Stegostoma tigrinum: one gene and its partners. The protein of the gene in region 1 interacts with the protein of each later gene in a pairwise test. Links are inferred from orthologs where the notes say so. Each region holds a gene or a part of one and is shown in the gene's direction. Other genes may lie near its edges. The genes, in order: airim, E3 SUMO-protein ligase ZBED1-like, tfip11 and trim54.

What was found.
Region 2: the proteins of airim (region 1) and E3 SUMO-protein ligase ZBED1-like interact in binary tests that used the Homo sapiens proteins (3 or more experiments, as listed by UniProt). The two-hybrid records come from large-scale screens. The link is inferred for Stegostoma tigrinum from reciprocal best matches to the Homo sapiens genes AIRIM and ZBED1.
Region 3: the proteins of airim (region 1) and tfip11 interact in binary tests that used the Homo sapiens proteins (3 or more experiments, as listed by UniProt). The two-hybrid records come from large-scale screens. The link is inferred for Stegostoma tigrinum from reciprocal best matches to the Homo sapiens genes AIRIM and TFIP11.
Region 4: the proteins of airim (region 1) and trim54 interact in binary tests that used the Homo sapiens proteins (3 or more experiments, as listed by UniProt). The two-hybrid records come from large-scale screens. The link is inferred for Stegostoma tigrinum from reciprocal best matches to the Homo sapiens genes AIRIM and TRIM54.

Annotation. Positions count from the first base shown.
Region 1 is NC_081377.1:9,425,348-9,432,349, forward strand, and holds the start of airim (AFG2-interacting ribosome maturation factor), read left to right. Parts: upstream 1-3,984; 5' UTR 3,985-4,086; intron 4,087-4,092; exon of another isoform or gene 4,093-4,280; intron 4,281-6,622; 5' UTR 6,623-6,641; coding exon 6,642-6,913; intron 6,914-7,002. UniProt on the Homo sapiens protein: Part of the 55LCC heterohexameric ATPase complex which is chromatin-associated and promotes replisome proteostasis to maintain replication fork progression and genome stability.
Region 2 is NC_081359.1:101,414,800-101,422,652, reverse strand, and holds the start of E3 SUMO-protein ligase ZBED1-like, read left to right. Parts: upstream 1-4,851; 5' UTR 4,852-4,852; coding exon of another isoform or gene 4,853-4,953; intron 4,954-7,630; exon of another isoform or gene 7,631-7,653; coding exon of another isoform or gene 7,654-7,744; intron 7,745-7,853. Other genes in the region: dhrsx (dehydrogenase/reductase SDR family member on chromosome X), read left to right, coding at 4,853-4,953.
Region 3 is NC_081379.1:17,491,916-17,499,314, forward strand, and holds the start of tfip11 (tuftelin-interacting protein 11), read left to right. Parts: upstream 1-4,387; 5' UTR 4,388-4,398; coding exon 4,399-4,509; intron 4,510-4,537; coding exon of another isoform or gene 4,538-4,692; exon of another isoform or gene 4,693-5,214; intron 5,215-7,399. Other genes in the region: srrd (SRR1-like protein), read right to left, coding at 536-581, 1,072-1,223, 1,468-1,566, 2,445-2,671, 3,397-3,437, 4,538-4,692. UniProt on the Homo sapiens protein: Involved in pre-mRNA splicing, specifically in spliceosome disassembly during late-stage splicing events. Intron turnover seems to proceed through reactions in two lariat-intron associated complexes termed Intron Large (IL) and Intron Small (IS).
Region 4 is NC_081357.1:80,447,913-80,455,021, forward strand, and holds the start of trim54 (tripartite motif-containing protein 54), read left to right. Parts: upstream 1-4,089; 5' UTR 4,090-4,195; coding exon 4,196-4,363; intron 4,364-4,856; coding exon 4,857-5,029; intron 5,030-7,109. UniProt on the Homo sapiens protein: May bind and stabilize microtubules during myotubes formation.

The DNA of each region.
Region 1 (7,002 bases):
AGCAGGAAAGTTAGACGTTTCGGGTCGAGACCCTTCTTCAACAAAAAAAACCTTCACTCGGTTCGCAATAAACAACTGCACCTCCCAGTCGTGAACCATTTTAACTCCCCCTCCCATTCTTTAGACATGTCCATCCTGGGCCTCCTGCAGTGCCACAATGACGCCACCCGAAGGTTGCAGGAACAGCAACTCATATTCCGCTTGGGAACCCTGCAGCCTAATGGTATCAATGTGGACTTCACAAGCTTCAAAATCTCCCCTCCCCCAACCACATTCCAAAAGCATCCCAGCTCGTACTCGCTTCCGTAACGTGTTCTCCCATCTATCCACTCCACCCACCTCAAACCCCGCCCCCATCTCCTACCCACCAGCCTCATTCCCACCTCCTTGACCTGTCCGTCCTCCCTGGACCGACCTATCCCCTCCCTAACTCCCCACCTACATACACTTTTACTGGCTCCAACCCTAGCTTGACTTATCTGTCTCATCTCCACCGATCTCCTCCTTCATCCATCTTCTATCCACCTCCCCCTTTCTCCCTGCTTATTTCAGAATCCCCTTCCCCTCCCCCATTTCTGAAGAAGGGTCTAGACCTAAAAAGACAGCTTTTCTGCTCCTCTGGTGCTGCTTGACCTGCTGTGTTCATCCAGTTCGACACTTTGTTGTCTCAGATTCTGCAGCATCTGCAGTTCCTACTATCTCCAGAGTCAATCAGTCGGCTGATCTACGGCTTCTTTCCAATGAATAAGCCTTCTGACTACAACAATCAATGCTGTTCCTCCAGCAGTGCATATAGCATCCCATGCATATACTATGGGAATTGGCTTTGTCTGAAATCACACTTTCTGTCTTTTGTCAATTGCTTTGCCTTGATCTCAATCCCTTCTGGAGTGAGAATAGATCCATCCTCACCGTAGCAAGCACAAAATCATGAAGAAACTCAGCAGATCTGGCAATATTAGTGGAGGGAGAAACAGGATTAGCATTTTAAGTCCAGAATGATCATTCTAACTGCAGAACTGAAAGGTGTTGGGAAATGTTGCTTTATACTTTTGACCTTTAATAAGTGCAGATGATGGCCTAATGGTATTATTGCTGGGCTGTTAATTTGATAGAAGGAAAGTAGATGGACAGAATTGAGAAAAGAGGAGGGGGAAGGAGATAAAATGGGAAAAGGGATTCAAAGAATCACATACGTTGCCTTTTTAACAAATCAAATTCTTCTAAATAGTAACTGTTACCCATAATACACACTGAATCATCTTCAAACGAGCATGTCCGATCAAAGCATTTTGACAAATTGGCCAAAAGAAGTGTAGAAAGTGTAATTAACTGCGCGGAAAATCTCACTGTCCCAGTGAGCAACATTTGATTGGGGAATGATAGGTAACCTTAGGGACCTGCTTATCAGTGAAAGATCTAAATGAGTTTGCTTATATAGCAAACAGAAAATGGTCTGAACACCAGTTTTAAGAGAAGATCATAGCCCTGTGTTTACTTGTTGGAGAGTTTGTCATAGACTAGTGCCGAGCTGAAGTCGCCTCTGAAAAGGAAGGATTGAATGGCACAGGCTGGATGGAGTTTAGCAACTGTGTCATCAGTTGTCTTGGTCCCAAGCACAGATATTCCAACATTTAACCTCTTGGAAGGCGTCTCTAAAATGTACTGCTTTGATCAGTTTTGTTAGACATCTGTACTAATGCGTTATGTGTCTCAGTGTCAACTTTTCATAAAATATTATACTATAAAAGGGTCATTTAATCTAAACTTCCCATTTTATTCCTACTCGCAAGTTCAACCCTCCACTGCATAAAATTTTTACTTTACAAATATGCATTCAATTGCCTTTAGAAAGCTCCTGTGGAATTTAGTTCACCGAGTCTTTCACATTGTGCATTCTAGATCCAAACTGTAAAAGTGAAAACAACTGTCTACTTTTTAGCCAATTTTAAACATGGAGCTCTGATTACCAAACTATCTTGATTTGATTTGATTTATTATTGGTCAACGTAGCGAGATAGTGAAAGTATTGCATTACGTACGAACCAGACAAGTCATATTGTACACAACTACATCAGGGTAATAGAACAGAATGCAGAACATAGTGTTACAGCTGTAGAGAACGCACAGAGAAAGATCAACTCTGATATATGACAGGTTTCTTCTCAAGTTTGACAACAGCAGGGAAGAAGCTGTTCTTAAATATGAGTATGTGTTTTCAAACTTTCGTATCTTCTTCCCAATGGAAGAGGGTGGAAGAGAATATAACCAAGATGGCAGGGGTATTTGATTATACTGGCTGCTTTCCTGAGGAAATGAGAAGTGTACACGGAGATAATGGAAGGAGGGCTGATTTTCATGATGGGCTGTGTTCACAAATGTCTTTAATTTCTTGTGGTCTTGGCCAAAGCAGTTGTCATACCAAGCTGTGATGCATCCAAATACGATGCTTTCTATGGTGCATCTATAAAAATTGATAAGAATCATTGTGGATATGCCAAATTTTCTTAGCCTTCTGAGGAAGATGAGGCATTGGTGTTCTTCCTGAATGGTAGCATGACATGAATGGACCAGGGCAGGTTATTGTTGTATTTATTCCTAGGAACATGAAGATCTTGACTGCTGCCACCTCAGCATCATTGATACAGACAGGGGCATGGCCTCCATTCCGCTTCCTGAAATTGATATAATTGGTCACTCTCTTCTTCACTGTAACTTGGTCAAAACTCTTGAACTCTTTCCATAATTCCACTGTCGGTGTAACTACACCACATGGACTGCAATGGTTTATTAAGGTACTTCACCATCATTTTTGCAATTATGGGTGGTTAACAAAGGGTGGTTGAGGTAATGATGGTGTTCAAAGCCATTTAGTGTTTTGATGAAATGTAAACAAGGACAATCCACAGGAGACAACACTGTGTAAAGCTGGATGCACACAGCAGGCCAGGCAGCATCAGAGGACCGGACAAGCTGACGATTCCGGTCTGGACCCTTCTTCAGAAATGATTCACATGACACTGGTTTAAGGCATTGTTACAAAATAACTGTACAATACATGAGATAATAAAATCTGAGGCTGGATGAACATAGTAGGCCCAGCAGCATCCCAGGAGCACAAAAGCTGACGTTTTGGGCCTAGACCCTTCATCAGAGGCATTTCAGAGGCTCGAGGGGGGCACGGTACGCCAGAGTGACTCCGCGAGGAGCTCGACCAGTTAAGCGATTCAACACGCCCAAGCGGGTGAGAAAGATAAAGTAATACATGAGTGCCAGTTCTGATTTGAAAAGATAGCTGTGATGTGTCCAGATAGGATGCTTTCTATGGTGCATCTATACAAATTGGTAAGACTCATTGTGGCCATGCCAAATTTTCTTAGCCTTCTGAGGAAGTAGAGACATTGGGTGTCAGGGATAATGGGAACTGCAGATGCTGGAGAATCCAAGATAACAAAGTGTGGAGCTGGACGAACACAACAGGGCAAAGCTTTTGTGCTCCTGAGACGCTACTTAGCCTGCTGTACTCATCCAACTCCACACTTCGTTACCTCAGAGACATTGGGTGTGCTTTTTTAACGGTAGCATGACGTCGGTGGGCCGGGGCAGATTGCTTCACCGTGTCCAACCAATCATAGCACAACTGCGCCAGGTATCAACCAATCACAGCAAGGCCTGTCCAGGACACAGCCAATCGCAGCACAGCTATCCCAGATATCAGCCATTCACAGCACGAACTGTCCAGGATATGCCCAATCGCAGCGTGGCTGGCCCAAAACCTATCCAATCGCCCATCATGGTGGGATGTCACTTCACAGAGCAACCGTCCAAAATTCAACTTGCAGCAACTAAATCATTTTTAAACTCCAAGGAGGAACAGAGCACGAAAATAACCAAGTGTGTCTGTGTCTTCTCAGTAATATTCATATTCTTGCGAGATGGATACCAAAAAATTTTTACTGCGCGCGGAGCATCATGGGGGTTGTAGTCCTGGTGGTTGGGTGAGATGTGCGCAGGCGCGGATAAAGGCGTGTGGTAGGGACGTTTGGTATTAAAGTGCTGTGGAGTTTCTCTCGCTGCCGTTGACATGTGAGTACGTTGGTCGGGCCGGGGTATTATTTTATTTTTCTCACCCGTTTGGGCGTGTTGAATCGCTTAACTGGTCGAGCTCCTCGCGGCGTCACTCTCGCCCACCGCGCCTCTGAAAACTTGAACCGAAAGCAGAAATTGTTGGAGGAAGAGACAGTAGGAACTGCAGATGCTGGAGAATCCGAGATAACAAGGTGCGGAGCTGGATGAACACAGCAGGCCAAGCAGCATCTCAGGAGCACAAAAGCTGACGTTTCGGGCCTAGGCCTGAAACGTCAACTTTCTCGCTCCTAAATCCTGCTTGGCCTGCTGTGTTGTTGGAGGAATCTCCGCAGGCCAGTCAGCATATATGTGGAGAACGAAACTGGGGTTAACGCTGTGGGTCGGCTGACCCTTCTCCAGCACATTCTTCGAAAAGTGTCAGCAGCAACGTTCTGTGAGGAGGCTTTTTCATGGGGCTTTGTTGCCGACATGTTGTAGTTCATTTCCATTGCTTCCATGAGGCCGCCTCAAGGCGGTCAGTTCACAGGAGCACAGTGATTCCATCGCCCATGTGAGATATTAATCGGAGGTCCCACATGCCTGCTCAGATGCCCCTAACAAATCCCATAGGCGCCATTTCCAGAGAGTGTGGTCTCTGGTGAACTGGCCAGTATCTGTTCTCAATTGTGGACCATCATGCTGTTAACTACTTATGTAAATGTCACTGGGATAGAGGTGTTATTTTTGGTCAGTACCACGCAAGATTGTAATCAGAAATTCTCACTTGAGTTACGGAAGGGACAAGTTTACGTGGAAGACTTAAAACTCAAAAAGATGTCTTTGGTTTGATTGGATAGAATCAACTTCTGTTTGTTTTCTTGATATGCTACTGCACAGATCAGTACTGTGTGTATTATATTTATTTATAATACACAAGATATTTTTAATGAATAAAGTGTATTTTTGAAATTAATAAGAAACTTAAAATTCAGAATTGGGTTTTAAGTTGAAGGGGTCAGTTGAAGGAGGAATTCCACATCTGCAGGCAACATCTTTTTTTAGGAAGGGATTGAGGAATTTAAACACTTTATGCTTCAACCTACTGAGATTTGGAAGCAAATGCAGATCAGCAAACACAATAACTGCAATAGTGTGTGGGTACAACAACATTTTGTTGGAAATTAGGATACAGATAACAGGGTTTTGGATGAGCTCAAGACTAAAAAGGATGAGAGGCATGAAATATTCTGGTCTGGAAAACATGGTTGACATTTTCAAAACAAGCAGGGGCTGAAATAGGTAGTCTTCATGATTTAAACAAAAATGATGTAACAGGAAAAGAAAAGATGGATAAACTATTTTCACTGGTTGGGAATCCTCAAACTAGGGGACACAGTTTGAGAATTAGGGCCAGACAATTCAGGAGAGATGTTAGGAAGCACGTCTGCACACAAGCTGGTAGATGTTTGGAACACTGTTCCACAAACAGCAGTGGATGCTGGTTCAGTTGTTGGTTTTATGAACCCTTTAAAAAAATTAACTCTCCCTTAACAAAGCTATGTTGATTCTATGAGATTAACTTGAATTTTTTCAAAGTGCTTTTGTCTTTGACAGTAGCTTTTAACATCTGGTTATGGCTGAGTTCCTGCTTTAAGTCTGATTTGAAAAGAATTGTGCCATTTTCACTTTCTTCCGGTGTAACAAAACTCCTTTGATCCATGTGCAGGATGTGGCATTGCCCAGATGACATTTACTGCCCAGAGAGCACAGAAGAGTCAACCACATTTCTGACAGTCTGAAGTCACATTTATGTCAGACCAGAGAGAGAGATTATCTTCCATAAAGTACATGAATGAACCAGATTTATTTTAACAGTGGTGATTACATGGCCACCACTAGCTAGCTTTTTATTGAGGTTTCACCATCTGCCATGAGGGATTCAAACCCATGTTTGATTCCATGTCCCCCATTAATAGTCTAGTGACATGACTACTCCACCTTGCCTCTATTTTCTCCAAATTGAGGAAATTTTGGAAAATTAAAAGCACCCATCTCACAAGTCACTTCACTTAAGGTTATAGGATGAAGTCCGTGTGGACCCGGGGATCTGCCAGCCTACAGCTCCAAGAATTTACTCAGTACCAATCTCCTGGTTATTGTGGTAACCATGGTAATTAAGGGAAAAAATAAATATAGCATCAGTTTTATAGGGAGATAATTGTACAGGTCAGAAGATTGTCATTCTGTACTGGTTTTATATTCTGTTCAAAGGTTGACAAGGAGGGAAAAAATTAGAGCCCAAGATCAAGATAAAGCTAATATGAAATTTAATTGTAAGAATGACCAGATATTTTCAGAGTGTTTTTGTTTAAATACCTGCAGTTTTAAAGAACATTGTTTGCTAAGTCATATATTTAAAAAAAAATCTCTTAATAGTCTAATCACTTCCACAAATCAAACACTTGCTTTACCTTTTTTATTTCTTTGGATATTTGTACTTCACTGGATATTTTTCTTGTCAATTGGATTCATTTGCTTGTGATTTTCTTTTTAGGTTATTGTAGCAGAAAGTCATGGCTCAGAGACAAGCCTTGCTGGCTGTTCATCAAGTTTTGGAGAAATGTTTCCATGTTATTGAGCAGCAACAAAATTTGTGGGCAAGTACACTGACGGAATGTATCCCAATCCTGAGTTCGCTGAGTAACTTGGCAGAGCAACTGCAAGCGTGCAACAAAGTTGTGTTTATGAATACCCCCTTTCGAGTGTTCCCTGATTTGCAGTGCCGTCTGAAATACAAACTCACTCGGGCTATCGAAATCAATTTGGAAAGCCTTGGTGAGAAAATGTAGGTTCCAGCATCGCTCATCTATTGATAATTAAGCCTGAAGTACTGTCTCCTGACACTTATTTGTACAACCATCGAGTCGTTTATTG
Region 2 (7,853 bases), on another chromosome or scaffold:
AGGCCAAGCAGCATCTTTGGAGCACAAAAGCTGACGTTTCGGGTCTAGACCCTTCATCAGAGAGGGGGATGGGGAGAGAGTTCTGGAATAAATAGGGAGAGAGGTGGAGGCGGATCGAAGATGGATAGAGGAGAAGATAAGTGGAGAGGAGAGTACAGGTGGGGAGTTGGGGAGGGGATAAGTCTGTCCAGGGAGGACGGACAGGTCAAGGAGGCGGGATAAGGTTGGTAGGTGGGAAATAGAGGTGCGACTTGAGGTGGGAGGAGGGCATAGGTGAAAGGAAGAACAGGTTAGGGAGGCGGGGACAAGCTGGGCTGGGTTTTGAGATGCAGTGGGGGAAGGGGAGATTTTGAAGCTTGTGAAGTCCACATTGATACCATTGGGCTGCAGGGTTCCCAAGCGGAATATGAGTTGCTGTTCCTGCAACCTTCGGGTGGCATCATTGTGGCACTGCAGGAGGCCCATGATGGACATGTCGTCTGAGGAATGGGAGGGGGAGTTAAAATGGTTCGCGACTGGGAGGTGCAGTTGCATCCCCTATTCCCAATTCCTTCGCTTCCACTGCATCTGCTCCCAGGATGAGGCATTCCACTCCTGCACATCCTACATGTCCGTGTTCTTCAAGGACCGCAACATCCCTCCTCCAGGGGTCGAGAACTCCCTCGACTATGTCTCCCGCATTTCACGCAACACATCCCTCACACTCCGCCCCTGCAATAACCGCCCAAAGAAAATCCCCCTAGTCCTCACATACCATCCCACCAACCTCCGGATACAACGCATCATCCTCCGACACTTCCGCCATCTACAATCCGACCCCACCACCCAAGACATTTTTCCATCCCCACCCCTGTCTGCTTTCCGGAGAGACCACTCTCTCCGTGACTCCTTTGTCCGCTCCACACTCCCCTCCAGCCCCACCACACGCAGCACCTTCCCCTGCAACCGCAGGAAGTGCTACACTTGCCCCCACACCTCCTCCCTCACCCCCATCCCAGGCCCCAAGGTGACTTTCCATATCAAGCAGATGTTCACCTGCACATCTGCCAATTTGCTATACTGCATCCACTGTACCCGGTGTGGCTCCCTCTACATTGGGGAAACCAAGCGGAGGCTTCGGGACCGCTTTGCAGAACACCTCCGCTCGGTTCACAATAAACAACTGCACCTCCCAGTCGCAAACCATTTCCACTCCCCCTCCCATTCTTTAGATGACATGTCCATCATGGGACTCCTGCAGTGCCACAATGATGCCACCCGAAGGTTGCAGGATAAGCAACTCATATTCTGCTTGGGAACTCTGCAGCCCCATGGTATCAATGTTGACTTCACAAGCTTCAAAATCTCCCCTTCGCCCACTGCATCCCAAAACCAGCCCAGCTCGTCCCCGCCCCCTACTTCATCCCAAAACCAGCCCAGCTCGTCTCCTCCTCCTTGACTTGTTCTTCATAACATTATATTTAAGTAGCTCGTTTCAGGCAGAACTGATTGAATGGAAGTTAATGGGCTTATCTGACAGCTGTAAGAGGTAGCTCTTGGGGTATCCATAAGATGGTTGAGATAAACTCTTGTAACTCAAACATTAGCTTTGTCTGCAGCCTTATCAGTTGAGAACAGAGGCAAGGGACCACTCTCAGATTGCTCTATCACCTTGAAGTGTCATTTTCCTGTTGGCTATTTAATTGTCCAACACTGTTCAGGATTGGTTGTCCCAGGATTGCAGAACTTTCATCTGATTTGCTAGATGTGGGATCTCTGTCCAATGCATCTAATTTTGTGGTTTGTCATACAAGTAGTCCTGTGTTGTACCTTCATCGGGTTAACACCTCAGTTTTAGGTCTGCCTGGCACTGCTTTTGGCATGCTCCAACATGATCAAGTCTGCTCTCAAACTTCTGTAAGATGAACAACACAAGCTTCTCCAGTCAATGCAAGTAACTGAAGACCCTCATCTAAGGGACCAATCTTGTAAATTTTTTTCAGTTCCCTCTCCAAAGTCTTCACATCCCTGTTGAAGTGTGATCAGAATTTCATCGAAAACGGCAATGGAAGCTGAACCAGCAACTTTTGCTTAAGATTAATTTTGTTACTGTACGGTTGTGCTCTTTGCTATTTAGACACCTTGGTCCCAAAAGTTCCATGCACTTGCTCAACCTGCCCTGTGGCTCAGCCTGAATTGTTGTTTCAGGAACAAAAACAAAGTTGCTGGAAAAGCTCAGCAGGTTTGGCAGCATCTGTGAAGGGAAAAACGGAGTTAACATGTTGGATCTGGTGACCCTTCCTCAGGACTGTTCTGAGGTCACCAGACCCGAAACGTTAACTCTGTTTTTTCCTTCACCGATGCTGCCAGACCTGCTCAGCCTTTCCAGTAACTTTGTTTTTATTCCTGATTTACAGCATCTGTAGTTCTTTCGGTTTTTATTCTGAACTGTTGTTAAATATGGAAGATGGGTAATGAAGACATGAATGATATACCGGGTTAACAAAGTGTGAAGCTGGATGAACACAGCAGGTATCTTGGATTCTCCAGCATCTGCAGTTCCCATTATCAATGATATACCGGGTAATGGTTTTGGCAGTTGGCGTCGAAGTTTTAATTCTTCTTTGGAATTGAAGGAATTTTGAAGAGAATTAGGAAATTGACAAAAACCAGGGGATACCAAATGAAGTTTAGAAGTTCAGAATAAACAAATGAGTCAAATAGAACATTTTCTTCCAAAGGGGATAGATCACCGGGGAAAACCACTGAGGTTTATACAAATGAGCTCATAAGTTGCTCAGATACATATTTGGGAAGAAAAGGGATGGAAGGATATAATCAGAAGTTGTGTGGATCCAACAGATACTTACAAAAATTATTTCCTTGTTTGATCTAACACCAGCATCTAATTGGTGAAAAACCTCGGGCACATTTTTGGAATGGAGTCATAGAGTCATACAGCACAGAAACAGGCCCTTCAGTCCATGCTGAGCATAATTCCAAATTAAACTGGTCCTGCCTGCCTGCCTGCTCCTGGCCCATATCCTTCCAAACATTTCTGGGCTGTGTAATGGTTTATATACTGGCCTTACCTTGAAAATGTAGTTTCAAATCAGCTTAGATTGATAAGATAAATGTTATTTGATGGCTATGAGGATCCTCTGTAGAATGGGTTTTACACTGAACAACCATATAAAACTACACGGTGAAATATTTACCCATTCAGTGTAGGGAAACTTGAATGTCAACCTTGACAGAAGGTCACACAATTTATGCAATACTATTGTATACAGTAAAATGTAGTAGAAATGTTCTACACTGGTAGCTTCCGCACAGTGAAAAAAAATCTACGCAATAAATGTTACATACAAACCTATGCAGAAAAGAATTATCTATAACTGAAAGATTTCCAAAGGGATACATTAGTTGTATAGATTCAGTAATATTCTCACAACACAGTGTCCACCATTGACCAGTGTCTAACTCTCCCTCTCTTGTACAGTATGAATGTTGTCTACCCTTTACATTGATAATTCTTGTGAATTGTCATGATGAGTGCAAAGTGAAAAGGTTTAGCGAATGTTTTGTCATCGGATGACAGAGACGGGGATCTTGAAGGATATAAGACATACAGGAAGGACAGGTAGCTAGGAAAAAATGGAAGGTTGGCTCTGTTAGATATTGATAGCAGGAACACAATAGAGTCGAGAGCCTAAGTTCAGGATGTGGAAATAGTTTGAATGGAGATGAGAAATAATAAAGGCAAGAAAACACTTATGGGAATGGTGCACAGACAGAAGACCAATAGACAACATGATTGAAACAGATGAGATCCTGAGGGATTTTGACAAGGTCGATGTGGAGTGGATGTTGCCTCACAAAGAGAAGTGTAGGGCTGGAATATAATCAAAACTTTCAGGATCTTGAGGGAAAAATTGCTGTGAGTAAGAGAATGACATGATATTTAAAGCCTTTGTATTATCTAAAGGTAGAGAAACTTCATAGTGCTTCAGTGCTTCAAAGCGATCTGGGTGTCCTTGGGCATGGCTCACACAGAAAACTATTTTACTGGTACAGCAGGTAATAAGAAAGGCAAAAGAATTTTGGCATTAATTGCTAAAGATGTAGAGTGTAAGAGTAAGGAGGTGTTGTTGTAACTGTACAAGACATTAGTCAGACTGCAGCTGGTAATCTTCAACCCCTTACTTGAAGAGGGATGTAGTTGCATTGGAGGTAGTTTAGAGCAGGCCTACTAGATTGATTCTGGAGATGAGGGGTTTACGTTATGAAGAAAAATTGAGCAATTTATGCCCATATTTCTTGGCATTTATGAAAATGAGATGAGATCTAATTGAGGTAAAAACGATCAAAAAGCGGGTTGACAAAGCAGATGTAGAAAAGGTGTTTCTTCATTTGTGGCAATCTAGAATGACAAGTCATTATTTTAGGAGAAGGGCTACTAGATTTAAAACAGTAGGAGAAATTAGTTCTCTCAAAAGGTCTTGAATCTGTGGTATTCGCTGCTGTAGGCTGCGGTCAATACCGGGACAATGAGTAAGTTTAGAGAGGAGATAGACTGATTATTAATTAGTAATGAGTTGAAGAGTTATGGGACCAGGCAGGAAATTGCAATTCAGGCTGAAATGAGATCAGCTATGGTTGTATTAAACAGTGGAGCAGGCTTAAAGAGCTGAATTGCTTACTCCTAGTCCTAGTACTTCTGTTCATCGCAAATAATTATAAACTGAAGGAATGCAATTCTACACTGTTAAAAGTTTGTTTACAAGGCCAGAATGGTTAAGATTTATCATACCTTTAAAATGTACTTTTGAATTGGATAATTCCTAACTGTTTCCCTTATGTTTACTCATAGAGTCACAATGATGCAGAAGGAGGTAATTTGGCCTATTGGTCCATGCCGGTTCTTTACGGGGACAATCCAGTCAGTCCCAATCCCCTGTTTAGCGGATATCTGTAAGTACAACAGGTTCCTGTCAATTTAAGTGCATCAATAATGGGAATTCTGGTGGGATACTGGTGTCATTATAGATTTTGGAGGATCAGAGCAACATCCTAAATTTTGCTTTCAACTACTTTGGTATAGGCATCAGAAATCATTGTCCAATTTTACACTTTAATAATAGCGAGCACTTGTTGCTTCACTATTTTTTTGCTGCAAAATATGGGTGGATGTACATATTATGTACTAATAGACTGAACAAGGATTCACTATTAAAGTAATATAAAATCCATGAATTTGTGCTCTGACAAGTTACATGTTGAAAATCTTTTTAATACCACACATATATAAATCCTAATTGATCAGCTCTTCCAAAAGCTTTGCTATGCTAATATCATGCCTCAAAGCTTGTCACTGTAATGCTTGGAAGGCACTAAATAGTTGACCTTAATGTGATAAATACCATATCATCAAAAGTTTGGACTTGTCCATTGAACATCATAACATAAAAAAGTTTTTTTTCACTTTTCCCTTCTGTTTTGCCTCTCTCTATTCATCTCATCTTTCTTTCTCTCTCTATTTTGCTTTTTGAATGTGATATCGTGTTGAGTTAATTATCCTAATTTATGTTAATGATCAGACTCTGTGAGTAGGTTCTGAGTGAGTTAAAATCAGACCCACAGTAAAGATTCTTCAATTTGATTTAGTTGAGACAAATGTGATGTTGCTTGCATTTCCCACAAGTCTTGATTCCCATTTAGAATTTGTCGTTGTCTCTCAGGTTTTTAATTGCACCAAGTTCCAGTGCAAAAACCAGTTGAAGATCTGTGTGTGTGTGTAGGTGAAATAATCAACATTTGATGAAGTCTTTTTTCTCTTAAGTAGAGCCACAGCCTGCTTAGAATTTCTATGATAGTTATAACTTCTCATTTCTGCTTTCACCTTTATAAATATATATATTTATTTAACATCTGTTCCAACACCTCTATTTCCTTTTCATGATATAGGGATATGACAATACACAGCGCTCTGTATTTTAATTTCATTCCTCGCTAAATGAAACCTCTCCTCCACATAAATATATATCTCTTTCAGATGAGACTTAACTAAGATCCAGCCGATGTCATCTGGTGGATGTAAAAGAATCCTCAGCACCATTTCAAATTATAGCAGAGATGTTCTTCCCAGAGTCCTCACAATATTTTAAACTAGCATTGCAAAGATAGGCGAATTAGCCAATGTAAACTAGCATGTTTTTGTGTGAGCTTGTGCCTTGATTGACTGCGATGTACCCTACATTTTGCAAACTCAAAGACTGGTCCAACCCGCAGAACTGCAAACTGTTCAGGTCCCAAATGTATCTGAGACAGATCCAAACTTGGGCTGTTAGCCATTAATGTGATCTGCACTGGCTCTTGATCAGGCAACCTGTCTCCTCAAGGAGTCTGAGTTGCTGTAGCAGATGCACTTTGACTTTTATGCTGCAGTGCAGAGCCAGCAGAGGCTCCACTTTGTCTTCCTATCTTACAGCTGACTAACAGTCTTCCAGTTTTACTGCCTATAGATGGCATATGTCGGGAGGGTCTGCAGCTTGATACACAAGCTACTTTGAAGGCACTGAGAATGAACCTTCTTTTGGTGAGACTTGAACGCAGAGAGTCTGACTCAGATTCAGGGACACTAACACTGCACCAAAAGACCTCTAGCTCCCTATAATAGCGTTCAAACTTCAAAAGTGCTTCATTGGCTGTAAAGTGCTTTGGGGCCTCAGGATCATGTGATTGTGGAAGGCCAATGCAAATTTTTCAGTCACATCTAATTCAGTTACCTCTGCTTTCCTCTCCACAGATGCTGCCAGACCTGCTGAGTTTGTCCAGAAATGTCTGTTTTTATTTCAGATCTCCAGCATCCACAATGCTTTCCATTGATATATGTAATTTGTAAATAAATGTACACACACATACATACAATGCCTGGGTGAGTGCAGCCACTGCTCGGTATGTGTTGGTTTGAGTGTGAGTGCTAATGGGAACTGCAGATGCTGGAGAATCCAAGATAACAAAGTGTGAAGCTGGATGAACACAGCAGGCCAAGCAGCATCTCAGGAGCACAAAAGCTGATGTTTCGGGCCTAGACCCTTCATCAGAGAGGGGGATGGGGGGAGGGAACTGGAATAAATAGGGAGAGAGGGGGAGGTGGACTGAAGATGGAGAGAAAAGAAGATAGGTGGAGAGGAGAGTATAGGTGGGGAGGTAGGGAGGGGATAGGTCAGTCCAGGGAAGATGGACAGGTCAAGGAGGTGCAGCTTGGGGTGGGAGGAAGGGATGGGTGAGAGGAAGAACAGGTTAGGGAGGCAGAGACAGGCTGATGAAGGGTCTAGGCCCGAAACGTCAGCTTTTGTGCTCCTGAGATGCTGCTTGGCCTGCTGTGTTCATCCAGCTTCACACTTTGCTATCTTGGATTCTCCAGCATCTGCAGTTCCCATTATCACAGAGACTGGTTTTGGGATGCAGTGGGGGGGAGGGGATTTGCGTTCATCCAGCTCCACACTTTGTTATAAGATTGTTATAATGCGTTGGTTTGAGCTGTGTTGTAGGAGGAATTGGAGGTGGGACTGTTAGTGCGGCGGAACGTCTGTGCGGCTCAGTGTGTTCCACGCTGGGGGACGGTTCTCGTGCTGTACCCTCCTCGACTGCTCTCGCTCGGTTGCTGTAATGTCGCCCCTCTCCGCGTTTCTGTGGACCTACGCCGTGGGGGTGAAGGTGTTGCTCTCCCAGCTGCTCGGACGCAACTTTTTGCTGCCAGGTTAGAGAGACCGCGATTAAATTGTCCTGGTGGCTGACATTAAAATCCCAGCATTGTCTGTTCACCGGGAAACTCCGTTCCAGTGTCCTGGCTGCCTCCCCCCGCCCTT
Region 3 (7,399 bases), on another chromosome or scaffold:
TGGGTGGGAGGTGCCCTGAGGTGATGAGGTCATGAATAGTGTTGGAGATGATGGTTTGGTGCTTGGGGGTGGGGTCATGATCAAGGGGGTGGTAGGAGGAGGTGTCGGAGAGTTGGCGTTTGGCCTCGGCGATGTAGAGGTCAGTGCGCCAAACTACCACTGCACCACCCTTGTCTGCAGGTTTGATGGTGAGGTTGGGATTGGAGCAGAGGGCTGCCCGTTCTGCAGGGGAGAGGTTGGAGTGGGTGAGGGGGGTGGAGAGGTTGAGGCGGTTAATGTCTCGATGGCAGTTTGTTAATAGACTAGTTAAAACTTAAATAATTCTTAGTTTTCACACAGCTACCATGTCATATAGACAACTTTCATTTTCATAATTCTGCAGTGGGAACATGTGCCAAAACTACATCAGTAGAAGCATTCATGGTCAATTTTCTCTCTTTGTTCATACCCTCAAACCCCCTAACTTAAATCGAGAGATTAGGATCCATGGGTAGCAGCAGAAATTGAATTGTTATTTGAAATTACTGAAGGATACATGATTAATGTATGTGTAGTCCCTCTTCAGCACTCGGGCTGGTATTCTGCAATATTTAAAAGAAAGTTCAACAATTTTGATAAGAATACTGTTTTAAGATTATCATCTTTCAATATTCTCTTTTCAAGAACATAGTTGGAGATATTACTAATCTAATTATAATATCCATTCCAATGAACGTCCCTGATAACCTCTTCCCAGTTCCACTATGCTTTGTTTCAAAAGCTTTCACCCCTGCCTTTCTGTTCCAGACTCTATGCTTGAAGTTCAAATCTTCACTGTGGTGAACAGATTTGCTGAATGAACTCTTCTTAAATATTGAAATTAGATCACCTTAAACTCTCCACTTTAATAAAACCATTGTGTGTAATTTAAAATTCCAATTCTCATATTATCCCGCACAGTACTATTGTTGCATTAATGTCCTACAGAGCGTAATCTATCACTATTTTCCTATCTTGCCCCATCATAATTATTAAATCACCACACAGGTTTTTTTTATTTACAAAGGATGAACAGCAGCAAAATTTTCTTACCTCTCCTCTATCCCTTTGAAACTGTTTCCAATGAGAATAGTTTGTGCGAGTTTTTGTGGTGACCAATTCCTCCACAAAAGGTTATTGTAGAGAGCTTTGCCACAGTGAATCATGTAGAACAGCGTTGGCCTGTCGATGGACCGCTTCCCTTCCTAATAGATTTTTAAAAGAATATTGCCAATCATGTCACGATATGCAATAAAATTTCTGAAGCACATGGATAGGTGCAGTTTGCTCCTCAAATTGTCATACAGAAGATCTGGCTGTGATTAGGGGCTAAATTTGGAGCAATCACCAGAAACCCAAAACCAGAAAGTAATGCATCCCTTTTGTCAGACAGGATTCACAGAGAAGACAATGGACAAAACAAAAACTAACTGTGTCAATGCCTTTTACCTCATTTTCCTCAAGCACCACCATCCCACTGTCCTTCAAGAATTTCTTCTCCCATTCTGTAAATAGTGGATCAAAGAAAAGGCAGCCATCTCGAGGGATCTGTTAAATACAACAACAAAATTTAAAATTTTACATGGAGCAAAATCACAACTACAAAAATGGGAAACGGTGCTGGACAATGATTATTTGATAAATTAAAACTGATTTCTTTCTCATCTGTTCACTTCTAATTTTGCACGGTTGCAACGGATTGCATAAGGTGAGATAGCTGCCTTTTTCTATCCCTTTGCCCCTCCCTTCAAATGGGCTGAATTAATGATTTCAATCACAGAGACGTTCGGATATCAGCTGCATTCTATGAAGTGGAAGTGAAGATCAAAGGGTCAATGAAGATCTCCGAGCTGCATTCGCATACCTGCTGTTCACTGCAATTGCATACAGCAAAAAAAACTGTGCATTAAAGAAATGATTTATTTCTGGATGAGGCATGAGCTGAATCAAAAGTAAAGCCCTCCATCCACTTCACGCTGTTAAAACAAGGTGTGTGAATGATTCTTATGTCTCCTTCAGCTTGCTTTGAAAATATGATTTCAGACTGAGTTTATCATACGAGGAAGCACAGTTGCAAAACTTTTCACATTTCGCTATGTGGTATTACCTGTTCGAAGATGTTTGTTTTGAATGTTTTTCACTGTCCATTCCTAAATCTGCAGATTTATAGATTTAGAGAATTATCATTTTAAACATAGTTATGAGTCACTGATTTATTTCCACAAAAAAGTACAAAAACACTAGACTTTTGCTGAATGAAAGATACACCGTGCAAGAAGAATGGGACAAGCAGAATCAAAGATGGAAAAGCAACTTGTTAATACAACTATGGTTTCTAAGCATTCAGGAATGATGCAAACTAACATTACTCAATGGACTCTTTAGCTCCCCATTCACTTCACACATTAGCACCTGACTACACTTACCTGTAGTGTCTCTAGCAGTAGGAACAGCAGGGCCAGCTGATAACGAGATGACATGGAAGTAGAAAAATTTCCGATTCCATAACATACCGAGTTAAGCATATATCGATAATGATCTGTATTTTTCTTTTTGTGTCCAAGGTAATCTGGAGGTTCCCCAGTAGGGAAGGGACTTGATGGAGATACAAGTTGATCTGTATGATGCATATTCACAACTCTTTGAAAGGTTTCTGAAACAGATTGTGACAATTACCATCTCAGGAAGCAAACTGAATGTCGTAAAAATTGCAAATAGATAATTACAGAATTGTTTCAGGTGCATGTCATTCAGTCCAGCATGTCTGAACTAGCTTTCTGAACATCCACCTGTCACCTTTATTGACTTATGTACATATACAGCAGGTCTCTCACCTCTCTGCCTACTCCACCAACTTGTAATTTTCCTCCTGAAATTCTACGCTATCCTCCTCTCAGTTTATAATGCTCCCAACTTTGAAGTTATCTCCTGCACTTCAAGATTCAGACCCCTTACATATATCAGGAAAAGCAAGAATTCCAACACTGACTCCTGGGGAACTCCACAATACATCTTACTCAAGCCCAAAAAACATCCACTAACAATTACTCTGTTTCCTATCACTTAGCCAATTTTATATCCACATTGCTATAGTTCTCTTTATTCCATAAACTACAACTTTTGTTTTACAAGTCTATTGTGTGGCACTATATTGAACTCTTTTTGCAAGTCCATGTACACAATATTGACCACATTGCCCTCATCAATTCTCTTTATCACCTCTTCAAACACTTCAGCTAGCTAGACATGATTTTCCTTTGACAAATCCGCGCTGGCCTTTCTGAATTAATCAATATTTTCACATGTGACGATGAATACTATCCTGAACAATTGATTCTAGAAACATTCCCATGTTAGAACTTAAGTCTACCAACTCACCGAGGCAATCAATCCAGAATTCTGAACTTTGCAGTTCCTTTCTGTAATAAAGTTCAATGGTTAGTTTTTCCATCACAGAAAGCTATGATTATTTTGTAGGTGTCAAATTTACAGGGACAAAGCAAGTAAAGAGTAGGTCTGACCATATGTCTTGTTTCTTGTAATAATAGGTGAATAAATTATTTTAAACTTATCTTGTAGAGAATGAAAAAGAAAGGAAACTGTTAGGAATGAGCCAACACTTAAGGTACATTTAATCGCTTCCACAATTTATTAACTTGGATGCCTAATTATGACGCTGTGACTTAACTGAAGTATTCAAAATGGAATGACAGAATTTCAGCTGGACAGGAGGGAGCATACTGGCCAATCATACCATTTAAGTGAACTTGAAAAGCCAGATGAGTCACATCTGAAAAATCTACTTGAATATGTACCTTGAGATCTCAACATAAAGTGAAATATTTCACCACTATAAATGTAATTGTGATAGAAAATGCTATCATGATAGACTAGGAGAAATGGTTTGATTGAACACATAGATTGTATTGGCCAACCATGGCAGTTGTAAATGTCAAAATAATGAATAAAAGAACTGGAGATGTTGGAGATTTGAAATAAAAACTGAAAGTGCTGGCAAAATTCAACAGGTCTGGAAGCAACTGTTCGGAGATGGCTGAATGAACATCTCGAGTTCAGTGACTCTTCATTAGAATAGAATTGTCAAGGCCTTAGGAGCAAATTACTGCAGATGCTGGAATCTGTACTGAAAACAACCAATGCTGGAGATCACAGGAGGTCGTACAGCATCCATGGGAAGACCTTTCCAGGTCCATATCAATTGCCTTATCGAGTAGTGTTGGCTGTGTGCCTAACTCAGATTGGCTTCCGTTTTCAGTGACTCCTGAAGTTGGATTTTAGTACATTTCCCCCCCTTTTTATTACGCCAACACACAGCAATCTGTGGACGTATGTGTGTGCTCCACGTCTCACACGTCTCAGATGTTTCTGGATACGTTATCTCTGGTCTGGCACGAGCGAGAGGCTGAAGGTGTTTCCCTACAAATGTCGGGACCAAAATCCATCAGATCAACCCCGCAGCAGCAGCAGGAGGTGGGTTCTGACAATTCAGTGAACTTACACTGCTTCCTTTATTTTCTGTTGCATTCTCTCCCCTTCAGCCACACTCGGATATTCCACCGCGTGGGGAACCTCTCTGGCATTTTCTCTCCGTTTCTTTACTCCTTTTTTCTTTCTGATTGTTTTCCATTCTCCTTCTGCTGGTAAGGCAGACATCTCTCTCTGTAATTAAGTTTGAAGAAGGGCCGTACCAAACTGCATCCTTTCAGTGTGCCCGTGTTGTTGCTGAGGAAGCTGAGATCTGGTGCAGGGGCAACAGGTTTCGAGATTATGGGCCTCAGCTGGGACGATGTGTAAAACAAAAACTGGAAACTCTGAGAACTGCTCCCTCTGGGAAGAAGAGAAACAAGATTTTTAAATTACATGGAGTGTTTATTCCTCCTTTCTGTCTGTTCCTGGTTATTTAATTTCCCAGTTCCTCAGAGCGTTTAACTGTTTTACACGACCCACGGTGCCTCTCGGTTCACTGTTCCCACTGACACCATCACCTTTGCAGGTTCTGTTTCCTGACCGCGGGCCGGAACCATTGTACGCTCTCGGTGTTTCCCGACAGCGGAGTTCCGGGCACGGACCATAGGATGGCGGATGTGGTTCGTTGGTGAGACATCGGTTTAAAGTTATCTCCGAGAGGCGGAGGGCGCGCGGCGGCGGCTTTGTGGCTGGAATTAACCGAAAGCGGTGAGTTTGGGTTGTGGACTTTGTTCCTGTTCGTTTTGTTGGACGATTCCTAAACTGCACCCAGGCCGACTGAGAGAACCGGAGAGCGGCCTGTGTGTGTGTGTGAGAGAGAGAGAGGGAGAGAGAGACACTGTACTCTAATCCTGACAGTCCGTTCCCCGTAATATGCACACAACCCCTGTTCCGCGCCGCCCCCCCCCCCCCCCAATTCCATTAGACCATAAGATCTAATTCGGATGTTCAGCCCATTCGTGTCTGCACCACCATCCGATCATGGTCGATATGTCTCAACCCCGTTCTCTCACCTTCTCCCCCAACCCCTGATCCCGTTACTAATCAACAACCTAACTATCTCTGACTTAATACGCTCAATGACTCAGCCAACACAGTTTCACCACCTGGCTGAAGAAATTCCTCCTCGTTTCAGTTTTACAGGGTTGTTCCTTTGCTTAGAAGCTGTGCCCTCAGGTCCTAGTCTCTCCTAGTAGAGGAAATATCATCTCCACAACCTCTTTGCCCAAGCCTCTCGGTATTCTGTAAGTTTCAATGAGATCTCCTCTCACGCGTTGAGTACAGGTCCAGAATCCTTAACGACTTCTTCTATGACAAGTTCTTCATCTCCAGGATCATGCTTGGAAACCTCCTCTGAATGCCCTCCAATGGCAGTGAATCCTTTCTTAAATACAGGGCACAAAACTGCTCACAATATTGCAAATGTGCCTGACTAGAGCCTTACACTGCATCTGCAGTACGTCTCTGCTCTTTTATTCTAGTCCGCTTGACATGAATGCTAACATTTCATTTGCCTTCCTAATTGCCAGATGAATCTGCATGTTAACCTTAAGAGAATCCCGGACAAGTAGTCCCAAATGCCTTTGTGCATTTGATTTCTGAAGTCTTTCCCAATTTAGAAAATAGTACGTGCTTCTATTGCTCCTACTCAAGTGGATAACCTCACTCTTTACCACATTGTATTCCATTTGCCACTTCTCCAGCCACTCTCCTAGCTTGTTGAAATCCTGCTTCATCAACATTACCCGTCCCTCCACCCATTCTTGTGCTTTTTTTCAAACATGCAGTTTGTTGATCTATAAAATGAATGGTTGTGGTTGTAACATTGACCCCCCGTAGAACTTCACTAGTTACAGGCTACCATCCAGAAAAAGATCCGTTTATTCCGATCTGTGCCTTCTGCCCATCAGCCAATCCTCTATCAACGCCAACACCTTGTCCCCAACACCATGGGCTTTTTTTTTAAAGCAGCCTCCTGTGCAGCGGCTTGTCAGAGGTTTCCTGGATATCCAAATGGGCCACATCCATCGGCTTTTCTTCATCAAACTTGTTTATTACCTCCTCAAAGGATTGCAATAGATTGTAAGGCACGACCTCCCCTTGAAGCAGTGCTGACTCAGTTCTTCTTTATCATGCACTTCCAAGTTCTCTGCAAACTTTTCCTTTGTAATTGACTCTAAAATCTTACCAGCAACCAAGCTCAGGCTAACTGACATATAATTCTCCATCTTCAGGCTCCGTCTTTTCTTAAACAACTTGTTACATTAGCCATTTTCCAGTCCTCTGGGGCCCACCTGTCACACAGGTGATGCCTGAAAGATCATCACCACCAATGTCTCCATAATCTTCTCAGCTCTCTCTTTCAGAACTCTGGGATATGGTCCACCCACTCTGGGTGATTCATCCACCTTCAGACCGTTCAGCTTCCCCAACATCATCACCTTACTGATGTCCACTACACTCAACCATGCCCCTTGACACTCTGAAGTTTTGTTATGATCCATGAAGAATGATGCAAAGCATCAATTAAGTTCATGATTTCTTTGTTTCTCATTAGTCCTTCTCAGCCTCATTTTTCAGCATTCCAATGTCCACCCTTGCCTCACTTACTTCTTATTTATCTAAAAGAAAACTTGTTCAATTTTTTTTCATATTACCAGCTAGCTTACTCTCATATTTCATCTTCTCCCCCTTATTGCTTTTTTGTTTGCACTTTGCTGGCTTTTAAACCCTCTGACTTCCCAATAATCCTCACCATGTTGTGTGCTTTTTCTTTTACTTTTGCATTGTCCCTAACTTCCCTTGTCAGCTATGCTTGCCTCATCCTCCCTGTAATATGTTTCTCCTTCCTTAGGATGAATTTCTCCTGAACTACCCCGAGAAACCTCTGCCA
Region 4 (7,109 bases), on another chromosome or scaffold:
CCCACTTTTTGAATAAATTAGTTACTTCACTAATTTCCAAGCTGAATCTACAGAATTATTGAAAATCGCAACTACTAAGAGAATCTGACTATCTCCCCATGATATTCAATAGCATTATCATGGATCATGGCTGCAGGATGACATAGATTGACACCTGAATATTGAAGATTATATGGCATTATAGAAGGGGCAGGAGGCTTGGAAGAATTGGAGGAATGACTCTTATTTCACGATGTTACCAACATAAAAGAGAAGGAAGACCTAAGTGTAGGAACACGGAATGTAAAAGTGATTTAGATAGAAATTAGAAATGAAAGAAGAATTGAACTCAAATCAGTCTTCACCATGGAGGATATACATTCAATCCTAGAAATAGCTGTGAATCAAGAATCAAGAGAGGGAAGAACTGAAGAAAATAATAATCAAGAGGGAAGTAGGGTTGAGTAAATTGTTGGAATTGTGAGCTGACAAGTACCTGATGGAACTAGAGGCCAACAATTTTAATATCTGTCATAAGGAAAATATTAGAAACAGTCATACATTCGGACTAGTTTTGGGTTATTGGGCAGAGTCAATATAGTTTTGTGAAAAGGAAATCATCTTCGACAAATTTATTGCTGATCTTTAAGGAAATAGCACATTATGGATAAAGTGGAGCTGGTGAATGTGCTGTGCTTAGACTTCCAGAAGACCTTTGATAAGGTGCCACATCAAAGGTTATTGTAGAAAATAAAAGTTCTGCGTGCGGGGTAGCATGTTATAATGGGTAGAAGTTTGAATAGTTAGCAGGTACAAAAAGTAGACTCAATAGATTCACTTCGGGTTAGCAAGTTGTAACAACGGGTTTTGGGACCATAGCTTTTCACAATTTACATAAATGGTTTAGATGATGCAATGGGAGGTATAGTTGCTAAATTTGCTGATGGCACAAAGATTGGTAGGAAAGTAAATTGTGATGGAAAAATAAGGAGAATGGCAAATGCAGTATGGTGTGAGAAATTGTAAAATTTGTTATTGTTGGTAGCTCTTCTTGTAATGCAGTGGTAGGGTCCCTACTCCTGGACTGGAAGGCCCAAATTCAAGTCCCACTTGCTCCAGAAGTGTTTAAGAAGATTTCTAAACAGGTTGATTAGAAAAATAAGTGAATTTTAAAAAGAAAGATTATCTAAATGATTAGAGATTACAGCGGTTTGCGATGCAGCGGGATTGGATATCCTAGTGCATGAATCACAAAAAGGTTAGTAATAGGTACAGCAAGTAACAAGGAAAGCTGATATAATAAAATCATTTATTGCAAGGGGAAATCAAATACAAGGTAGGGAGATTATACTTCAGGTATAAACACATTGGTGGCACAAAACTGATTAGAAGTGCAGCAACAAACAGTATCATGGCAGAGCTGTCACCTGCTAGTACACCTGGAATCACCCGTATGGACAGTATGTTCATTTCACAAAGGGCAGGAGTGTGCCATATAGGTTGTCAGAATAATCAATGATAGTTTTATCATTACCATTACCGAATCTAGCTTCCAATTTCAGATTTATTTGCTGAATTAATGTGAGTTGTGTGATTGTTACTTGGCCTTCAACTAATGCCTTTCTCTTTGGCAGAATGGCACTCACCCTGATCTTAACTGAGTTCATTCTGGTTTAGGTAAAACTCACGCCTTCAGTGAGCTTGCAACCTCTCAGCAGTCACCACTCTTTAGTGACATTTGACCATTCCTTGCACTGCTTCTTAGCGTCCACCTAACCCTTCTGATAAAAGGTCCAAGTAGTGATAGGTAACACAAGTAGACTCAGCTAGTACCTTAAGGCCTGCTCACCTCCTCATCACCCAGCTTTAAACAGTCATGAGAGTGAAGGCCTGTGATAGATTAGATTAGATTCCCTATCTACAGTGTGGAAACAGGCCCTTCGGCCCAACAAGTCCACACTGCCTCTTGGAGCATTCCACCCAGACACCCCCGAACACTATGGGCAATTTAGCGTGGCCGATGAACCTAGCCTGCACATCTTTGGACTGTGGGAGGAAACCGGAGCACCCGGAGGTAACCCACGCAGACACGGGAAGAATGTGCAAACTCCACACAGACAGTTACCCGAGGCTGGAATCGAACCCGGGTCCCTGGTGCTGTGAGACTGCCGTGCTAACCACTGAGCCACCATGCCGCCCCCATAGCAGTGTGCCTCTGATTTAAACAGCACTTAGTTACTAAAATTTAAGATTTAATGTACATTATTAAAGCAATTTAGGTTGAGCAAAGAATTTGCTTGAGAGAACCCCTTGAAAGAATAAAGAAATTGAGTTGTTTTGTCTTTAGCTAGTTAATTTGTTCAATTCAATACAATTTTCTCAAAATATGCATGAAGAGACTTATGGAACTTGTGTGGATATCCACTTTGTGTTTTTTAGAATTATATTGATATTTTCCAATTGTTGATTGTTTTCTCCACTCCCACTCCATTTATTTTATATAAATTCTCATTATTCAAGCTTTAATTATGATTTTCAAGATTTTTTGTTTATGAATCCAATATGAGTGAAATCCACTTCATTTATACATCCTTGACCAATTCTTCAGTTGATTTCATACCACATGCTGACCACAACTGTGGCAACAATAAAAAAGCCCCAAAGATCTATATCTAAGTTTTAGAATTAATTTTGAGGTCAGCCATCTGAAGCTTTAGCTCTGTTGCTGTCCACAGATGCTGCCAGACATTTTGAGTATTTTCACCATATTCTGCTTTTATGACTAATTTAGTAGTTGATGATCTAAACATCATTTACACCCTTCATGTAGAATTAATTATTTTCAAGGTCTATTTATGTGTTGTGTTTGCTGCTTTTGTCATGTCTAGAAATCATGAAAAAAGAGTTCTATCCCAATGAAGAATAAAGATGCTAAGTGAAGGATGAGACATCCATGACAAGAAATTTAGAGAGAGTATGCTTTTGGGGATGAACCTTGCAGTGGGATGCAAACCGACGCATGGAGGTGCACAGACAATGGATTGTTTGGAGCTTGGAGCGGAATTGGTATAGTTGTTGGACATGTGAAAGTCTCTGCACTGAGATTCTGCAATGTCATGTTTATTCATTGTTCATGTGACTGTATTGTCAATCCTTTAACCAGGTCTTATTTCGACTTACTCATTGAACACTGTAAAGTAATGCAGCTACTCTTTTTGTATTCCTTTTTTGTATCTAAGATTTATGCTGAGATATTTGTACCTAAGATGGTGCCATAAGAGGTGACATTGCCTAAGGAGACAGACCATAACAAAGAAATAGCTTATTTATATTTTTTAGAAATAATTGAGATTCTAACATAAATCCACAGAGCAGCTTAATATTGAGAAGACCAGCATGTCATTCCTCCTTAGATGCTACTTTCAGCTAAATACTTCTCAACATTTGCTAGGGACAACCATTCCTTTGTTTTGGCATAGCAGTCTGTCATGAAAAAGGAGTAGTTAACTACATTCTCGTGAAAGATGGTGGCACATTGCTTTGGTAGGTATAACATTTTTTCTCATTTTATATTTATATCCAACTTAATTGTGATCTTATCATTTGTGTTAATTGGAGATTTCAATTGCATTAGGCTGAGGATTGTATTTCCTAATTAACTAATCTGAAAACACTTCACTTGTTTTGTGCATCGATTATTCATGAAATCAGATTAAGTTGCAAAGTAAAGCAAAAATATATATATTCAACAGGAATATATTGCTGAGCATAAAAAGTGCTGTACACAGGATAACAGGTTGCATTGGATTTAATTTAAGGTTTTCAATTTGAAACTTTGTTCAGGGAGTTGATTTCAGAAACTTTTGAGTTGCATTCAGTTTTGTTTTAGTAATTTATATAATCAGTAGTTTACTACATGACTAAACATCATTTGACAAGGGAAAGAGCTGCCCAACAAATGGCTGTTCAAAATCTCAGTCTCACATTTCAGGAGATAAATATGGAGTGAGGAATGCAGAGCCCACAACTGTTAGTCCATGTGATTTGTTGGCTAAAAGAAAAGCAATACGATCCTCTGTGAAATGATTCTAAATTTAGCTGGCTGCCTAACAGTTGATGTTTCAGCGGAGAGCACAGGTTGGGAAAAACAGTGCCTTGAAGAGAGGGAAAAGGAAAATTCTATTTAACAGATTGAGTGAACCTCTTGATTTTGGGGATGAACCTTGCAGTAGGATTCAAACCAATGCTTGGAGGCGCACAGACAATGGACAGTTTGGAGAAACAACTTATTTGTCCTATTTGTCTGGAAATGTTCACAAAGCCAGTTGTGATTTTACCATGTCAACACAACTTGTGTAGAAAATGTGCCAATGACGTTTTCCAGGTAGGTGTTTCAGAACTTAGTGGCATTTTACCGTGGCATAGTTATTAACCTTAATGCACTATTAATAGTATTAACATTTTAAGTCCATGAAAACTATTCTTTAGAAGCATGCTCTTGATAAAATAGTTTTAATGTTTAGGCCTGTTTTTTACACATCAGATTGCTTGGAGTGCAGATTTACATGTGAAGGGATGTAGGGGAGGAGAAATGAGAAAGAAGAGTATGTCAGATCACAAATACAGTGGCGGCAGAAATTATGATCAAGTCCAGCTCATCTCTTTTTTTAATGATAAAACATCTTTCTCTTTGCCTGAGCTGTGGGTGATAACACTGGCGTTCAGCTGCATGGTTCTGTTGAAGCAAAAAAAAACAAAGAAGAATATCTACAAAAAGCGGAAGACTGACAAGAGGCAAAGGAATGTGAGTAACGCGTGGCGTAGCTGAATACTCTTTTAGGGCTGTTTGACACTTTTATTTGGTACATAATTCACAGGCTTCCAATCCATTCTGGCAGTCGAGAGGCTCCACAACAGTGCCTTCAGGGGGTCGCTTTCGCTGTCCTTCCTGCCGACATGAGGTAGTACTGGATCGCCATGGAGTTTATGGCCTGCAGAGAAATCTCTTGGTGGAAAATATCATTGATATCTACAAGCAAGAATCATCCAGGTTACGCAATGTGCTTTATTTATAGAGAAAGCTGAACCGAGAATGAGTGTGTTTAGTCAATGATCTGTAAACATAGAAGAACATTTTTATTATTTTATTCAAATAAAGTGGTCTTTACCACTTTCTCATAATCATTTACTTCTATATTGCTCTTTTGGCTGAGGTGAAAAAGAAGTATATTTTCTATCAGCCACGCTCAGGAATTAGTAAGTAAGAACAAACAATATCAAATCCTTTGGGAATACAGTAGAATGTTCCACAATGGGAATTCAAATAGTACTATGTAGGAAATGCTCACAATTTTCAAATTAAGAAAGTAACAAGGTTAAAGGAAGAGGAATGATGAGGTAAGTCGTACTACAGGGAACAGGGTCTGAAAAACCTGAAACTGCAGGATGAAAAGATGCAAATCCTTGTATTCCACTTGTTTGGGTTTTTGGGTACAAAATTCACATGGGCCGGTTTATGATCTTTGTCTTTTTTCAAGGATTCTTTAAGAGGTTTGCAACAAAGGAGGAACCTGTATGGATAATGCCCATGCTGTCTTTTTATTAGGACAATTCAAAACTACTCCTATTGCCTTAATAGGCCTATATGTTCCAACTTTAATTTTCAGTTTTCCTTTAATTGATGTTGTGGTTTCTGCTTTCAGTAACAAAGAATTCTAGTTCCAATGCCTTTTCTTTGAAGCACTAAATCAAAGCCTACTTAAGATTGGAGACCTGCGATTGATGGATAAAAAGAGGAAACTCTAACACCACTCATCTATTTTAGATAGAAATGCTATTTGTGAAATCCTCAAATGAGGTTGTTTGATGCCAACACATCTGCAAGACTTTCAGTTTGTATGACAGAGCATAATTCAAATGAAATCACTTTTATGACTTCCAATTGCATAGTCAGACTCATTCAAACAAATCACTAATGTAAACTATTTTAAATATAAAATCAAATTCTCAATGATAAAGTTATTTTACATTTCTGTTCAGAATCTTCTGGTCTCATTCAATTAGTCTATCTCAGTTGGGTTATTGTCTTTTCCAAATAACAATAATGGGTAAATAGTCTAATTGTTGACTGTTAAGAGAATTTAAACTTTGCCCTTCAGACAAGGACATGCAAATTGTATCGCAGTTAATGTTGTGCAGTCACTGTTGTAATTGGAGAAAACATGTCAACCAATTTATATACATTTAGGGTCCATGAACAATACTGACAATAATAGCAAGATAGTTTATTTCAGCAAGATAGTTTAAAGCTATGATTCACTGAACCAGATGCTTATCATTTACCATACTTGACCCAATGATAACTCTCCGAGATAGTTATTAGTCACATATTTTATCTTGATATGATCCCTCTACTATATTCATCTAAATTTTTGATTAATGTGCGACTGTTTTATTGACTAAAGTTTACGATTTACACAACGTTTAATAACTTTTAGTTAAAGTGACAATACACTTGTATAGTAATTTACATTGTGCAAGTGGCTACAAGTTCAGGATTATTTTATAAGCTCATCATTTTGTTTACTAAAACATTAACATTGGTGCTATCAATGCTTTTGATCTATTGTGTAGATCAGAGTTGTTGGTTGGTTTGCCGAGCTGACTGGTTTTTGTACAAATGTTTCATTCCCATTCTGGGTGACATTTTCAGTGCTGTCTAGCCTCCGCTGAAGTGCTAACGTTCTGTTCCATTTTAAATTTATATGGTCTGGTCTGTTATGGCGGGTGGTTCTGTTTCCAGTTTTGCTCCATCGTGGTATTAAGCTGGGGTCTATTTCAAGATGTTTATGTTGTTTATGGCACCGCCATTTTTGCATAGGTGTGTTCACCCATCTTGGGTCTTATAATGGAAGCAGTTATGCAAAGACTTGAACATGCAGATCCTCCCCCAGATCCAGCCTAAATTATTGGTTAACTGCATCAACGATACTTTCTTTATCATTAAATGAGCAAAGTTAGAAGAAACACATCAGCTTATTAATAACCTATTCACTGAGATCAAGAGGATCACCAAGGAAGAACAGAACAACAAACAACTCATGACTTGGACGAGGGGATTGAAGGATGGG